Struthio camelus: one gene and its partner. The protein of the gene in region 1 interacts with the protein of each later gene in a biochemical or structural test. Links are inferred from orthologs where the notes say so. Each region holds a gene or a part of one and is shown on either strand. Other genes may lie near its edges.

Evidence for each region.
Region 2: the proteins of GLG1 (region 1) and SELE form a complex in vitro, tested with the Homo sapiens proteins (2 studies listed by BioGRID and IntAct). The link is inferred for Struthio camelus from reciprocal best matches to the Homo sapiens genes GLG1 and SELE.

The regions. Positions count from the first base shown.
Region 1 is NC_090951.1:22,466,779-22,470,528, reverse strand, and holds the start of GLG1 (Golgi apparatus protein 1), read right to left. Parts: upstream 2,863-3,750; 5' UTR 2,847-2,862; coding exon 2,520-2,846; intron 1-2,519. UniProt on the Homo sapiens protein: Binds fibroblast growth factor and E-selectin (cell-adhesion lectin on endothelial cells mediating the binding of neutrophils).
Region 2 is NC_090949.1:8,132,757-8,136,506, forward strand, and holds the start of SELE (E-selectin), read right to left. Parts: upstream 2,573-3,750; 5' UTR 2,445-2,572; intron 2,176-2,444; 5' UTR 2,137-2,175; coding exon 2,100-2,136; intron 1,681-2,099; coding exon 1,294-1,680; intron 462-1,293; coding exon 354-461; intron 217-353; coding exon 31-216; intron 1-30. UniProt on the Homo sapiens protein: Cell-surface glycoprotein having a role in immunoadhesion. Mediates in the adhesion of blood neutrophils in cytokine-activated endothelium through interaction with SELPLG/PSGL1. May have a role in capillary morphogenesis.

The DNA of each region.
Region 1 (3,750 bases):
GGCGCTCTCTCTCTCTCTCACACACACAGAAAACACTCTGGAAAGTTGCTATTTACTATACTCTGACTTTTTTTAATATGGGCTCATAGAACTTGCAAAGACTAGTTCCCCCCCACACCTTTTGCCAGGCATCAGTTTTCAAACATAGCTATCATTTTTCTGGGACTGTCCAAACATACTGTCAGACGGCCTAGGGTAAAAATTAAAAATTGTTTCAATAATAACAGCTAAAAAGAGATCACCGTTTCCTCAGGTGTTGCGTCCAACACAAAGGAAACGCCTGAGAAGATAACAGATGCATTCCACTTTACACTATGTGCCACCCAATGTTGACAACTCATTACTTTTACTCAGAATTTAAGTACCCATAGTTAAACAATATCAATATAAAAAAGTTAGTTATTTCAATTCATTTCTCGGAGTAGCACTCTGCAGAAGTTATTTTTATGCCAGGATAGAGCCCATCAGAACAGTTTTACAGCAGGCTAACTGTTGAGTCTAAGCCCAGCTGACAACATTTTTTTTTACAGGCTGAAAGACAAATAAGGACAAGAGTCTTTTGTGGCTGCAAACAGGCACCTTAGGAGAGAAATCTCAATCCAAAACAATCCCCGGATGTCCTGCCGCTGTCTGGGATACCACCCCAGTGAAGGATTCACCTTCCACACTGGCTATCAGATCAACAACAAGCAAACCATTGAGATACAGGCAAACTTTGAAAGAGAAAGAAACTTGAAAAACGAAAACCATAAGCCAACATGAGATTTAAAAGAGAAAGTGGAGTTTCACCAGACTATGCAGAGCCAACATACGGGCTTGCATCCGCTGAAAAATGTGATGCAAGACCTCCCTTCATCTTCTGCTTCCTTCTGCACACTCTTTTGCACTAGCTCCTGCACTCATGCTCCTCCGGGAGTGCATACAACTCACTAAAACAACAAAACTATCCCAGCAGAGAGCTGATAAGCTAGACCAGAAAAAGGTCTACTTCACTAAAATGGCTGATAACCAAGAAGTACTTGAACTATGAATAGAGAGAGGAGTGGCCACACAACTGGGAAGGGGAAGAAAAAAAAAAACACACACAAACAACAAGACCTTGTCCTTTTGGTGGCAGGCTGCTAGCTCACTGCACCTCCTGAAAGTACAGTTTCTGAGATTATCTCAGAGGCAGTGCCTCCCTGACAGGGAATCCAGAGGGTCTTTTCCAGGCAGCAGCAAGCAGAAGAAACAATAAGGGACAAGTTACTAATAAGCAAATACCAGAACATTTCAGAACTGCGATAAGTGTTGCATCAGGTCTCATTTAATGAGTCTGCCATGACTCTTATTAAAATATCTGTCCACAATGAAAATGTGAAGTTAGATAAAAATCTAAGTTCTTTAAGTCAGGAATTAATCACTGACATATTAGTTCAAGACTCCCCTTGATGAGCGCAACCATTAAGTCACTGCCATCTGCTGTCTCTGCAATAACTGATGAGAAATGAGCACAGGTTTTTCCCGAATACGTTTCCACTTGATAAAACACCATTAGAACTGACGCAGCCTGACATTCCTGGACTTCACAGCAGAGAAGCCAAGAACCAAACAGACGCAGCACTGAATCTTCCTTTCTCCTTAGCTCAAAGGCAGCTCCTCCAAAAGCTTCTTCGATCTGGGGAAGAACTATCAGTCAGAAGATGGGGCTAGAAAAGACTCAGAGAAGACAACTAATTCTTTCTTGAACTACATCTAAATCATTCATGACAGATATTTAGTAACAAAAGAGATGCCCCAGTCAATCTCCCTGCAAAAACTAATCCAGGCCTAAAGCTCGGATATCTAATTTCATACATCCACAAACACACAACGGCAGCAGAAGGCAGTCACCTCTGCAGCTGGACTCTCCTCTACGCGAAGGTGGGAAACTAACGCTGAAAAAGTATTCTCAAGTCGCCACTGCTATCAATAAGATACCTCTCCTCGGCATTAAGTGGGCAGCGCGTGATCTTTGTAAAAGATCCTCTTGCCAAACTCTCCCAAGATCTCTGAAAGCTGAATAAACCTGTGAGGTATCAAAGTGTGGGGTGGGGGGGGGGGGGTGAAGCCATTGCACTACAACTCTTTCCTTCCTTGTGGGAGGGACAGGTTTGCGAAGGAGGGAGCCGCCAGGACCCCAGCCCAAGGGTACAGAGAGGTGCGAGAAGCCCCCCACACACACACACACAGACGAGCAGGCGCGTGCGAGCACGACCACAGGGCAGCGGCGGCGGCCCGGGCCTGGCCCCCTCGGAACCGCGGCGGCCAACAGCCCCTTTGGGGGCCACAAGCAACGGCGGCCCGGCCCGGCCCGGCGCCTCCTTCCACAGCGGCAGCCTCGGGCCCGCGCCGGCTCGGCTCCGAGAAGCGCCGCTGGCCCAGCGCCGGCCCCGAGCTCGCCGCCCCGGCGGCGCTGCCCTCCCCGGCCCGGCGGCTCTTTGTTCGCGGCGCCGTGCCCGGCCGGGGCGGCCGCGGCTAGGCCCGGCGCGGCCGCTCACCTCGCGCACGTCCTGCAGGCACTCGAGCACGGCCAGGTTGTTGGCCCAGCTGTGCTTGGAGCAGAGCCGCACCACGTCCTCGCGGCACACCGCCTCCTCCGACAGCTTCCACCCGCCGCCCGAGCCGCCGCCGCCGCGGGACCCCCGCCCGCCCGCCGCCGCGGGGCCGCCGCCCGCCGCCGCCTGTCCCTGCGGCGGGACAAAGGCCAGCGCCGCCGCGGGCCCCGCGGGCTGAGGGCCGCCGGCCGCCGGCCGCGCCGCCAGCGCCACGAGCAGGAGGAGCGCCGGGCCCGGCCAGCGGCTCCGGACACGTCCGCACGGCGCCATCTTGGATCCGCCACCCCCGGCGCGGCCGCCCGCCCCGCCGCACGCACGGCGTATGTAAATTTAGCTCCACCCCCAAGGGGGCGGGGGCTTCCCGCGCCCCGCCCCCCGCTCCGCCGCCCAACCGCCCGGGCGGTCTCGGGCGCCCGGCCGGCAACGGCCGCGCAGGCCCCGCTGCGGGGCGCAGCCTGGCGCGCTGCTCTGCGGCGCTCTTCGTGCCCGGCCTCGTCGGCTGCAGTTTTAGGGCACAACCCCCCTTTTTCACCGGCCCCTCCCTGCTGCTCGTGCCAAAGCCGTGTCTCGGCACGAGCCGGGGTGACTCCGCTCGCCCCCCTCCCCCCCGCTGCCCCGGCCTGGCCGGAGCCAGCACCCGCCGCCCCTGCTGCGCCCGGCCGGGCCGGCACCAGCGCCACCCTCGCCTCCTCGCGGCCCCCCGCCGCACCCGAGCCCGGGGCGCCTTCACGCGGGCGCGTCGCGCGCCAAAACCCCCCGCGACCGCCCTCGCGAGCCGGCGCGGCGGCGGCCCCGAGGCGCCCGGCGGGCCGCACGCGGCCCTGGGAGCCGCCGGCCAGGCGTGTCGCGCCGGCGCCGAGGCGAGGGTGCCTGCCGCGGCGGGTGCCGGCGCGCCGGGATCGGTTCGGCCCAGCCAACCTCGCGAGGGCGAGCGGGGCGGCGTGAAGGCCTGCGCACCCGGCGCGGCGCGCTCGGCCCGGCGGCAGCTCCTCGCCTCCGCTTCTGTCGTGGCCGGGCCCGGAGGGCAGGGAGCTCAGCGCCGCCCAAGTCGCTCGGGGAGGCCAGGGCGGATTTGGGGCCGGCGGCCCTGCCACAACTCCCTCACCTCCCGTGCCGTGAGGGCAGCGATCTCCCTCGCTGCGGGGAAACCGAATGATCAAGACGTGGCGCCTGG
Region 2 (3,750 bases), on another chromosome or scaffold:
AAGTTCACTACCACTGCTTGAGAAGCTCACCTTTGCACTCTGCAGGGGAGGCAGACCAGACTCCAGAAGAGGTACAGTGGACTGATTCCACTCCAGTCAGCTCATAGCCTTTTTCACACTGAACTGTGCAGGATGAGCTGTAGCTGAAGTTCTTCAGTGGATGGCTGCACTTCAGGCTGCCGTGATCAGGTTTCTTTAGTGTGTCACAAGTCTCAACTTCAAAGAAGCAGGAAATACAGTCAGAGTCAGTAGCTGAGCAGGTAAATTGACTAGTTAACACTAGTTTTTGACTAGTTGAACACTAGTTAATATGACCATCTCTCTGGCTGGAAGGAAGGATAGAGTAATCTTACCAAACTCGCATTCAGGCCCATAGAATCCAGGGTTACAGCGGCAGGTGTGATTGTTAATAGTCTCTATGCATTCTCCATGGCCACTGCAGAGAGATAGGTTGCAGGAAGCTGGGAAGGAAAAAAAAAAAAATCAGCAAGTTATAAATGAGTCCACAATGGTCACTAATGAAATTTGGTTAGCGATTCACTTATCTTTCTGGTGCTGAACAAGCACTTTGTATAGCAAAAAAAAAAAAAAAAAGCAGGACTCTTGGTACTTAACATTACCTCATCATTGCATGAAAGCATTTCAGAAATCAACTCATTTGACAGCCTAGCTAACAGTGAAAAGATTTAACTGGCTGGAAACTCCATGACCATTTGTGCTCAGGTAGATATTAGCAATATTTAAAATGCAAAAGGAACAATTGACTATAGTGTAGGTAGAAATCCTCAACAGGGACATTCTTTACCACCTCAACACAACTCTGATTTGCCAGATATTTGACTGCAGTTTTTTGATCTGCTGTAGCCACCTCCACATAAAGTGTCTAATCCATTCCAGTGGTCTACAGTCAACAGAGGGACAGATGCCTCCCAAAGGGCAATTCTTACCTCGCTGAGAAACCCACTGCAGACTAGCCAAGACACCTGCTGTGTCTCAATTATTTCAGGATAGGATGAAAAAAAACCGAAAGAGCCTGTTTCTCTCCACCAATTACACAAAGGTCTGGTGAGTTGCTTAGAAAAGATGTAAAATATTCTGAAGGCTATGAGATAGGTGAGATCAATCCAGCTCTTAAAACAACTAGCTTCAGCCCTGTGAGTATTCCACCCAGGGACTGTGTTTAAGGGTAAGTGTACAAGTGTCTGCAGGGTCAGGGAGTTACTATTTAAGACTAGGTTAATTAACCCCCCACTATCTCATCTCCACAGGGACTCGTTGGGATGGACATCATACCTGTATAGCACAAGGCGACCTTCTTTTTCTCACACTGTGCATCATTCCATTTGCCATCATCCTTCCCTCTTTTGATGTAGATTTCAACACAGTCTTCGTTGTTCCCCTGGCCATTTGGCTCACCTGAAGCCCAGTTTTCTGCCTCTTCTGTCAGTTCTTTGTTAGTTCCAACCCAGGTCCATGTCTCGTTAATTTTTCTGATTCCAATCCAGTAGTAACCCGGATTGAAGGGTAAGAAGTTATTGAGATAACTGATCTCCTCCTTATTCTGAATGGCAACCATGTTAGTATACTTGTCTTTGCACCACAGCTCTGCTTCATCATAGGTCATGTTTGTGTCTGAATAATGGTATGTCCAACAATTCACCTCCTCCAATATCGTAAATCCTGGAATGAGATGTCAAGCAGTTGGCACCTCCTTTTTTTCTTCTTTATAAGAGAATATATAAAGCCCTACAAATACTGCGTGCTTATCAATATCTGAACCTGCATAGGCAGTAGTTGCAATTATTTTATATACAATTAATTGGTGAGCTTCAGAACAGGCATGTCAGCATCAAGTATAGGACTTCAACCTGTAAAACTATACCTGATTAAAGTTCTATAGGCTCTGTAGTAAACCATATTAGCCACTAACATCTGACAGGTGAGCAGGTAAACATGCTATTGCAGTTAGTTTTTTCTATATGAATTTAGCCTCATGCTAAGTAGGCTGTGTTCAAAAATTCTGTTTAATTTGGAGCTCAGACAAAATAGCTACATTAACAATATCACCCAGCTAGTTTTCTAGAGAAATATACACTTACCGTAAGCAAGAAGAGATAGGAACCACAAACAAACCATGTTTCTGAGAAATTTCTCTTCTATCTTTTGTGCAGATAGCTATGAAAGACCAGAAAAAGGAACACATTTGCACACAACATAGACAGTATTTTATATTGAACTTCAAAAAAGCAGTATATGTTATCTGTTCTACAAACTTTTTTAACAAATCACTGAAGAACTAAATAAGATTTTCATTTGGAGGAAAAGAAACATTTAACACTGTTCTTAATGTCGAGACAGCTTTTAAGGTACATCAGGACAGAATTCTGTCCATTTTTCCCTTAGCTAAGCAACAAGATGGAATAAAACGCTCCCTTTATACTCACAGATTGTTGTTGGGATGGCCAGGTGCTATAGAAGTCTTCTAATATTTCTCAGTGTCTGCTTTCCTTTGCTAAGTTGCTGAATATGGTCTTGAAGATGAAGTTCAGCTTGAACTGTCTGGACTGTGTGTTCCTTTTGCCTTTACAGCAGCCTTTTATTCTCTCAGCGCAGCCTGCCCTCCATGAGGCAGGAAATTCCATGTGGAAAAAAAAATTTCTTGGAATATCCCTGGTTTTGACCCTCACACATTAAGCCTGACACTTCCCCTTCCCATATCAACCCTCCCACAGGGACAAACTGATCAAGTGCTGAATTCTACAGCTTTAGTGACAGAAGCACACAATTCCAGGATATCAGTGAAAAGCTTAGTTTAAGAGTTTGCTGTGCAAGTGAGTCGATTGTAACTTTTCTTAGTACAGATGGATGTGTTTTCTCTCGATTATAGGAAGCTCTTTGTGATTTGCAGCCACAATTTTTCTTTGTGGTAGTGAAGTTATACAAATTATTGCAGAGTAAAAAAGAAACACTCTCTACTGGCTTCCGTAGATGTTCAGATACCATATTGATGGCAAAAAACAAAAGAAACAGACATGACAGCTTCTTAAAAATACCATTTATCACTACCAGAACTGTAGAGGATTTTAAAGTGAATGTCTGAACTATGTAAAGCAAACTAGGGGGTTAATGTATATAATTCCCCTTACTTGATAAGAGAATTGAATATGTATATACCCTAAGAGGCCACAGAAATTTTGAATGCTCATTAAAGCTCTGAAATAAAAACAATATACATACTTCATCCAATTTTTTGTCCTTTTTGTACATTGTTCATAAGGCCAGATGGGAGGAGAATGCTATTTTGTTGAAAAACCACTAACCAAAAGTTTTCAAAGGAGTAAACCTACCACAGCAGATCTTTTCCTCAAAACTGTGACAAGGCATGGCACACTTTCTTTGAATTCAGCATAACAAGTATCCCGAGAAAGGAAATATATAAACTTTCTTCCCTAAGTGAGTTTTTAATGTTAAGATATGCCCGTCAATACCACTGACAGCTTGACAGCTAAAGCTATCAGCGCTCCACCTGAGTTGATAACGATAAAATATTTCAGCAGACCAAGTAACAACATGAAGCGGTTTTAAGGACTAATTTTTGCCTTAGTAGAAAAAGACAAAAATCTGTGAAGTACCCATAGCTTGATAAATCTCTGCCCATCCAAGGAATCCAAAGAAAAGAGGACCTAGCAAGAAGTATATTCTGAAGTAGCCCCAGTTACTATCAAGATAGGAGCGTTTTCTGTAAACTTC